Linked DNA regions of Rattus norvegicus. The protein of the gene in region 1 interacts with the protein of each later gene in a biochemical or structural test. Links are inferred from orthologs where the notes say so. Each region holds a gene or a part of one and is shown on either strand. Other genes may lie near its edges. The genes, in order: Itpr1 and Cabp1.

Region 1 (4,577 bases):
AACTAGCAACCAGGCAAACCAGAGACCACAGGACAAGCTACCAACATTCCACAGGTTGAACTGAAGCAGTTTAAGATTTCCAATTATTCAGCTAGAGACACACCTGACTCTTTCAACCTGCTCAGGTGCCTTGATGGGAATGACCAAAAGCTACTCCAACTATGAGCCAGGACTAACACTGCACGTAGACACTGGGTTTCCTCTGGTTTTCCTTCTTAACTGTCCTGATTCAAGCTTTCAAAACACACACACACACACACACACACACACACACACACACACACACACACACACACACACAGAGCTTTTCTAACATGAATTCAGCCCAACATTAAATCCTCCTACAAATAACTACATTCTTTTATCCCTGCCAAGGGCTGTATCATTTCCTTCTTACATCAAACTAAATAGCTGGTACATTGTTGGTGAGACATAAATCAGAGTTAAGGCATTAAGAGCAATGGGTTCACTATTTTTCCTAGCATCTCTCTCTCTCTCTCCCCATAAACTTAAGCACAAGTGGTACACATTACTGCCTGGGCTGCCCAGTGACTTCATTCTGAATCTCGGTTTCTTCACCCGTATCTAAGGTCTTCTGTGATATACAGCTTTGCACCTGGCTTGCTCTAACCTAATGGGACAGCCTCATTATTTTTAGGCAAAAGATAGAGAAGAGTCTGTGGACCAGTTAACGGTGTCTGTAGCATACTTCAAAGAGAAGACTGACCCCTCTTTGATCAACACAGACATTAGTCCATAGGAGAACTAGCCTTCCCATCCAAATGTTTCCCACTCCACCAGTACTCCTGAGGACCTTATCAACAGGAAACAAAAGCACTGTGCTACCATAATGAAGTATCTGGCTTTCATTCACTAATTAGAAAAGCCCAAAGATTGTAGCCCAGGGAACAGCTAAATATTTAGGACATTAAAGAAGTTACCAAGGACCAGCTGCCCACAGCTCCCCACTCCTATTAACCTGTTGTTTACTCAATTACCAGACATTTTAGAAGAAAAAACTTGATAGACAAACCTGAAACCATAGGGGCGTCTGTGTACCTACAGAGAGAGGCTTTATTTTCTAGGAATGGGCTGTGATAAATGTCATTATATTGACAGAAACACTGCCCTCAGCCCCTCATCCGGGAACAGGTACCAAAGCAAGAGAAGCACGCTGGGTTCCTTGATATGCAGGTGGCTCCTGTGAAATCCTGGAAGCTACAGTGGTATTCTTTAAGCTCTTACTTCCTGTTAAGTTCTCATTCTTTCAATTTGTCGCTTTCATTTCTTGCAACCCAGCCCACTCTGGTTACGTGGTGAAAGCCCACGACAGAACAGAACCAAGTGACAGTTTGTGAAAGGGAGGAGTATCTCACTTTTGCTTAGGGATCTTGGCAAACGAAAAGTTCTGCATCTTTGGGAGTCTAAATAATGAGGGTGCCTTTCAGGCTGGTAAGGGACCACCCACTTTACAATCTACCGCAATTTACTGCTTGTTGCTGTTGCTTACCCACCACCCCTTTACCCCCATGCTTCGATTCTAAGCAACCTTCAAAAGTAGCTGTCACTGGATCTTTACTCAAGACCATGACCAATTTTGACCACAGTTTCTTTCTCTTCCCTACTCTACCTCTATGTACGTTACAAGCGGAGTTACAAAATGCTTAGGACAAAACAAACAAACAAACAAACAAACATTCTTGACTACAGAACTCAGCTCCCACACTCACCTGACCCAGGTCAGGCACTCTGTAGCCAATGGACTCCCAGCCAAGGATGCAAATCCTTTGTAGTCAGCTCCTAAATATTTACAAAGAAAGAAGACTGAGTATGGGATCTTGCGACGGTCTATCAGAATGTTCCCAAAGACAGGTTTCGACTTTTTTAGTCTCCGTTCGCTTTTCCTGCAGATCCCACTCCCCACCTCCAAATTTAGCAGTCAAGTTGGAGGGATCTCTTGCCCCCAGATAAAAGCAACCCCAGCATGCTTATTTCCCGTCCGGAGCTGACCAGAAAGATCAGGCACGCAGAAACTTCGAATACGATGGGGGGGTGGGGGGAAGAGACTGTGGACGAAAGGAAGTGTTGAGATCCCAAAGCACTTGTTTCCCCGCGTGGAGGCCAAGTATGTGAAACCCGCGTCCTCATTGGGCACGAGCTCCGTCCACACTTCTCTCATCGCTCCCGCCCCTGCTTCCTCCGGTTTTCTTCCTTTTTTTTTAAACCCACGGGGGCCCCCACGCATGCATTATCCTACCAGCCAAGCAGCGCAACAGGGCTAGCTACATTTTTAGAAAGATTATTTCCTTGAGCAAACTCATATGACACCCCCTCAAATACCCCCCCAGGGGGGAAAACTATTTCCTGCAAACACTCCAGCCGTTTCCAACTTGGGGGAATGCCATTTCAGTACGGGGAAGGAGGTTGAAGCCGGTCACTAGAGTCGAGGACATTTGGGGTTACTTAAGCCTGAAAAAAAAAATCAGACCGCCTCCCAAAACTGCTCGCAGGGAAAGAAGCCCCAAAATACACGCCAAGTGCATAAGTGCATGCAAAGCCACCAAGAACTCCCAGTGATCAGGGCAAAAACTTCAGCGCACGGGAGCCAGTGCCAACTCCCCGAGCCCTCTGCCCGGCCCCAGCAGCTACCTTGGTGACCGGGGAGCCACGCCGGTTTGAGGGATCAGGACCAGGACAGGGGTTAGCAGCCGCTGGGCAATCCCATGTCCGCGAAGAGGGAGCTCGTTCCGTTAGGATGGGAGCGGAACACCCACACCTCCTCTCGGCGTGCGCTTTCTCTCTCTCCACCCCCTGCCTCCACCTCCTCCACCACCACCTCCTCCTCCTCTCCTCCCACCCCGGCAGGCTTGAGGAAACGCTTCAGCAGAACATCCACATGGTTACTGCACTTTGAAGCAGCTCCCGGCCGCTTATATAGGCCCGGAAGCTCCCTGGGCAATGTAGTCCGATTCCCAGGTCCTGCCGGCGCCTGGGGCTGCGCAGAAGGACTACAAGTCCCAGAATGCCCTGGGCTCTGGGGCTGGGTTCTAAATAGACTCCCGCGCACTGACCAGGGTCGGGGGAGGGGCGCCGAGCGGGAAGGCTGGGGCTGCGAACCTGTGTCTAAGCAGCGAACTCCCCAGGTTTGGCAAGCCCGATCCACAGGGTGTCCCTTACCCCTGTGAACCCTTCTCTTTTGACTGTCCCTTTTCTAAAGTCAGGTGTCACTAGGGGCCAGAGAGAGAGGAAGAGCTCGGATTACTACTTTGGGAAGTTTTTACAAGCTGTTTACCCACCCCCGCGCGTCCTGTGTCCTGGAGCCAAGAATTTCAGAAATCCGAGGCACAAAAACGCCAGTGTTTTGCGGTCAAGGATTAAAGAAGCAAGTTTGTCTTTATTAAATCTGTTCCAGTTCTTTATTGGATCCTGCTAGTGTCTGCATGAAAAGTCTGGCAATGAGGTGGTCCCTGCTATCGAGGATGCGGGGTAATCGTGTGAAAGCCCTTTTCTGAATCCGAGCTGTGTCTGTCTTTCGTCGCCCGGTGGGAGGTAAAAGGAACGCAACCCTTTCGAGTGAGCAAATAAAGGAACCATGTTGTGACTTGGCTGATGTTGTGATCGCGAAGCAGGAAAGAAATACAAACCGCGACCTGGTCCTGACCCCGCTTCTAGGACCCCTTTGCTCCTGGAATCTGTAAATGCTCAAGTAAATAAACCGCAAACCAGAAAAATAAGGGCTTCAGAGAAAGCGGCTATACTAAGATGTGTGCGTCCAGGCGAGGTGTGCTGCAAGTCTTCAACCCAAGCCTCTGGGCTGAAATGGGTTTCAACACACCACAAATAAGTGTAGGCTCCAGCCTGCAAAGTGCTTAGAACTTTGGCTTTTGAAAGAAGAGTTTGAATCGCAGGCAAAGTTATCCCACTGTCTCCCTCCGCATCCCACCTCCCACCCCCCACCCCGCCCAAACCAGACTGCAAGTATTCATTCCACAAACGTTCCCCGGTGTCATCTGGGTGCCAGGCCAGGCATGGTGCCAGGATATGAGAGTGCGCCAAAGTATATCATAACATCCTAAATGGGGTCTGTCTGCTACCGCTAAAGACCTACTAACAGCAGTCCTTGTTATGAAAACAAATGGTTCTACAGAGCTCAGCCCATGTCCTCTTTCTGTACATCATGCTATTGTGTTTTACCGATTCTGGGTTTGTTATCTCTGCGCAGTAGAAACCAGGTTAACTTCCGGTCTCCATTGCAACTCCAACCTGTACCTATACCGAGGACTTGCCCTTCAGGACCTCCATCACCCCTTCCTTAAAGGACCCCCTCCTTCCATTTCAGGAGCAGCCTATAAGCCCTTCGGCAAACCACTGTCATCTCTGTACCCCAGTTTTGCCATCTAGAGAGGGATTTGATACTCATTAGGATACGCCTGTTCTTTTTTCCTTTGCATGATTCAACAGCCTTGCCTAAAGTCTCGTGAAACTTTAAGAACAATAGAGGGCAAAAGAGCTAAGAATTATTGGCATATTTGGTGCTCAAACTAACAATTATGGACATTTCATGGGTGTGTGTTGTG
Region 2 (4,447 bases), on another chromosome or scaffold:
TTTGTTCTGTGAAATTGCTTTCCCGGGCCATCCTGGGGTTGGTTGGTTTGTTCGTAATTGTTTGTGTGCTCGCTTTGAGACATGTCTCTCTATGTAGCCCTGACCGGTCTATAACTCTGTAGACTATGATGGCCTCATAGAGGTCTGTCTGCCTCTGTCTTCTGAGTGTTGGGATTAAATATGCGTGTCACCTTGCCTGTTAAATTCATTCATTCATTCATTCATTCATTTTTATGAAAGGGTCTCACGTAGCCCAGCCTGGCCTAGAACTCTTTATTCTCATCCTCCTGTTTGTAACTCCCAAGGGATTACAGACGTGTGCGCGCGTGTGTGTGTGTGTGTGTGTGTGTGCGTGCGTGCGTGCGTGCGTGCTTGCGTGCACAGGCACGAGCCACCACACCCAGGTTTTCTTTTTCTTTCTTTTTTTTTTTTTTCCTCAAGAGTCAAAATATTTAAACAGGTTCTTACTCCGAAGCCCAAGCTGGCCTCCAGGTCGTAGCAATCCTGCTGGGATTGCGGGCCTGTGCCACCACATCCCAATCCACCTTTCTTGCACGTGTCCATGCAGAAAAGAGGGTCCTCCTCGAAGCCCGCGTTCTTTTGGGAGTCTGACCATCGATCCTAAAGAGGCTAAGCAGTGAGCAGGATGTAGGGACGGAGCATGGGCAGAGTCTAGAACACAGAGGTCCTCACCTCCAAATCTTAACTCCCCTACTACTTAGCACCTTGGTACAAGGGCCTCAGGAGGTACAGACCAGATAGAGGCTGCTCACCGCATGGGCGCCCTGTCCCAGCTCCCGCTCGGGTCTTTCGTGTGCACCGTGTCTTCTGATGTCACCCCGAAATTAGTTTGAAAGAATCATTTGCGCTTCACAGAAGAGAGGAAACAGGCTCAGGGAGGGTGATGACACTTGCCCAAGCTACCCAGATGGGGCAAGCCGCAGAGCTGGGATTTAAGATTGAAACCAGCCCAGTGTGACTTCCTGGCTGCCTACCAAGGGCAGGAGTCTCTCTACAGCTAGAAGGGCAGGAGGTGGTTGGACAGAGAAAGAAGCATAGCAAGTAGGTCCTACCTGGAATTTGACCACCACCACGAACTTCCAGGACAGGTAGCTGCAGCCAGACGCCACCTGGCTCCTCTTGGGTCAACTGTAAATTCTGTGGCTGGCTTGCCTGGGCAATCCTAGTCCCGATTACACTGTGTGGAAGGCGGATGAAAGCGGCATAGGTACACTCCTAGCTTTATCCTTCCAGGTCATCTGGTTCCTGCGTTTGTCTGGGTGGTGTCACAGAGTGCCTGCCTCCTGGCTGATCCTCTAGCGTCCTGCACCCCTTTGGTCCTATGGCCAAAGTTGTTCTCTCTGGAAAGTTCACCCTTGCTTGACTTTGGGGGCGACCGGCCAATCCGGGGCACTGAGGGATCCTCCGGGAATGATAAGGGGCTCCGCCAGTCTCCTTGGGGGAGGTTAGCCAGCCCCTTCCCTCGTGCTCCTGTTCAGTGCCGCAGCGCCCCCTTGGCCACCAGAGGCGCCCGGAAGCGGGACTCCCTGAGCGCGGGGCGGGGCGAGGGGCGGGGCGCGGCGGCACCTGGGCCGCGGGAGAGCCGGGGGTGGGCTCTCGGGGGACAGCAGGCTGCCCCCCCAGATCCGCAGCGCCGGCCGCCGGGAGCTCGAGGCTCCGGGCGCAGAGGCTGCGCTGTCACATGGGCGGCGGCGACGGGGCCGCATTTAAGCGGCCAGGGGACGGCGCCCGCCTGCAGCGCGTCCTCGGGCTCGGCTCCCGCCGGGCGCCCCGCTCCCTGCCCTCCGGGGGCCCCGCGCCACCCCCGCCGGGCCATGCGAGCGCGGGCCCCGCCGCGATGAGCTCGCACATCGCCAAGAGCGAGTCCAAGACGTCGCTGCTCAAGGCGGCGGCGGCGAGCGGGGGCAGCCGGGCTCCCCGCCACAGCTCTGCGCGGGACCCCGGGCTGCGTGGCCGCAGGCTGCCCGGTCCCTGCCCCGACTCGCCTGCAACGTGCGGGGACCCCAGCTCGCGGAGGCCCCTGTGCCGGCCGGTGCCGCGGGACGAGGGCGCGCGCGGGAGCCGGCGTGGGCTGCCCCAGGCGCACTGCAGGCCCCGGGAGACGCTACCGCCGGCCCGCGGGCGCGATGGGGAGGAACGGGGGCTGGCGCCGGCTCTCAGTCTACGGGGCTCCCTGCGATCGCGGGGTCGCGGGGACCCGGCTCCCGCTGGCACCCCCGAGGCGGACCCGTTCCTCCACCAGCTGCGCCCCATGCTCAGCTCCGCCTTCGGTCAGGTAAGGGCCGCGCCCCTCGCCCGCGCTCGGGGCACCGGCGCTCGGGACCCTACGGCGGCGGCGCGTCCCCGGCCCTGCTCGCTCTGCCCAGTCGGGGCGCACCTCGGCTCATCCTGTCCTCCCGCGGCCCTGGCACTCCGCCACCCCCGTGTCTGATTCAGCACCCTGTGCGCTGTCCACACTCCGGGCCTCTTCCTGAGCTCTGCTCAGCCGAGCCTGCCTCGCACCTGCAGGAGCGACCTCCGCAATCCTCCCCGGAGATTTTCCGGGGTCGTGAGCAGCGCTTGGAGCAGGCGGCGCCAACCCGCTCCTCTGGCCTCTGGCGACCCAAAGGAGCGAAGGGCTTGCAGTCTGAGCGGCAGAGGGGAGGACCTGGGAGTCCGCTGAGTTGTTTGCATATGAATTTCTAATAGCCGTGACTTAGAGTGTCTTCAAAGGTCTGGAGAAAGTTAGGGGATTGGAAAAATGGGGAGGAGAAGAGATGTCTGGGCAGGCATGAAGGGTCTGCCCAGGGCTACGGCTCTATCTGGAACTTGAGAATGTTTTAGGAAAGGTGGTATTCCAGGGATGCCATCTGGATGACAGTTAGGCAATTGTGGGATAAGACCGAGAAAATGTAAGCCTGAGTTCTTGTGTCTAGGGTCAGGAAGGCCACTAAGAGGTCACCGGCGACTCGTTTTTGTTCCTCGCACGCCTTTGCCCGCAAGGACTCCAGTCAGCCAGGCGTTTACAAACAGCTCAAGGCTACAGTGGGGGGTTGTGTCGCAGGGGAGACAGGAACCCTTGAACTTCTGAGCGAAGCCAAGATTTCCTCTAGTTCCGAGCCTGTAATTGAATCGAACTCACGGAGGGAGGCAGTTCAGCAGAGGCGCTGAACTGCAGAATGCTGGCTGGCATGGTTTTAGACGCAGGGGGTCTAAGCGTTTCTGTGGCAGGATCTAAGGCAAAGATAACCACCTCAAGCTCCCGGCTTGCTGTGCGGGATCAGTACTACAAGGAGGCCGCGTGTGTTTTGCTTCAGATCTGCTCACTTCTTTTCAAAAATACTACTCTGCAGTGGCTAATGCAGGTGGAGCTCTGTCATGAAGGCAGCTGCACGTGGATTCGGGTTGCACGGGACTGCTGGGATGGTGTGATGGGGCCAGCCGCACAAGGCTTTGTTCCTGCAGGGAGCCCTGTTAGCGGTGCTCAGGAGTAGAGGTTTGGACGCAGAGCCCTGCGAGCCAGAGCCTGGCTCCGTGCCAGGGAAGATGCTCACTGCAGTGGTTTGTGTGTTCCAAGGAGCGGAAGCATGTTAGGAGCGATCTATGGGTCTGGACTGGGTTGTCACCCAAACGCTGTGTCGTGAGTGGGGAATTTTGATTCACTCAGTTACCAAGCATTTCTTGAACGCCCACTTTCTCCAGGCATTGGTGGTCCACTAGGAAGGGAGCAGGGGGGTAGTCAAGATCTGGGCTGTTTTGGAGCTTTTGACCCAGCAGTTTGGAAGGTGCCCAGTCACAGGCTGATTATTCAACTTGCTATCGATCTGGGAGCGGGGTGGGGGAAGGACCGTTGCTTCCCCACCCTTGCAGCATTTGCCTGCAGAGGCCCCAGTCTGAGCTCAGAGCCTTTCGACCGTCTGCTCCTCACCTCCTCCAACCGCTCAGCCATTAAGTGGAGACTATTCTCCAGCCCCAGGTTCTGAAATGTCACAGGGTCACTTGAGTCACGAGGAGTTGGAAGGTCCCATGAAATATTTACTACCTCCCTCTGGAAGCTCTTGCCTCTCAGAGCCGAAGACTTTCTGCCCCCCCCCCGCTACCCCTCCCCCCAAGCACATTCAGTTTGAGTTTCCTGTGACTCCTCTAAGGGATCAAGACGACAAACCCAGCTGGGGGGGATTTGTGTCAAGAGCCTCCGGTCTCCTTTGACCAGGAGGAAGTAGTCTTTCCTTGCTATCTCTGTCTTGCATTGAACATTCTGTCCTTAGAGACAGGGTGGAGACTTAAGAAGGCAAGGTGGGGTCCTGAATGCAGAAAGTTCCGGGTGGACCCACTTAGGGCAGAGTGTATTTTGTTCAGGCCGTTAACTTATTTATCCATTTTTTGACCTTTTTTTTTTTTGAACCATTATCTCATCTGGGCTTTTATTTATTTGGGGGGAAAAAAG

The links.
Region 2: the proteins of Itpr1 (region 1) and Cabp1 form a complex in vitro, tested with the Homo sapiens proteins (2 studies listed by BioGRID). The link is inferred for Rattus norvegicus from reciprocal best matches to the Homo sapiens genes ITPR1 and CABP1.

The regions. Positions count from the first base shown.
Region 1 is NC_086022.1:142,741,664-142,746,240, reverse strand, and holds the start of Itpr1 (inositol 1,4,5-trisphosphate receptor type 1), read right to left. Parts: upstream 2,802-4,577; 5' UTR 2,650-2,801; intron 1,801-2,649; 5' UTR 1,731-1,800; intron 1-1,730. UniProt on the Homo sapiens protein: Inositol 1,4,5-trisphosphate-gated calcium channel that, upon inositol 1,4,5-trisphosphate binding, mediates calcium release from the endoplasmic reticulum (ER).
Region 2 is NC_086030.1:47,083,653-47,088,099, forward strand, and holds the start of Cabp1 (calcium-binding protein 1), read left to right. Parts: upstream 1-1,639; 5' UTR 1,640-1,702; coding exon 1,703-2,296; intron 2,297-4,447. UniProt on the Homo sapiens protein: Modulates calcium-dependent activity of inositol 1,4,5-triphosphate receptors (ITPRs). Inhibits agonist-induced intracellular calcium signaling.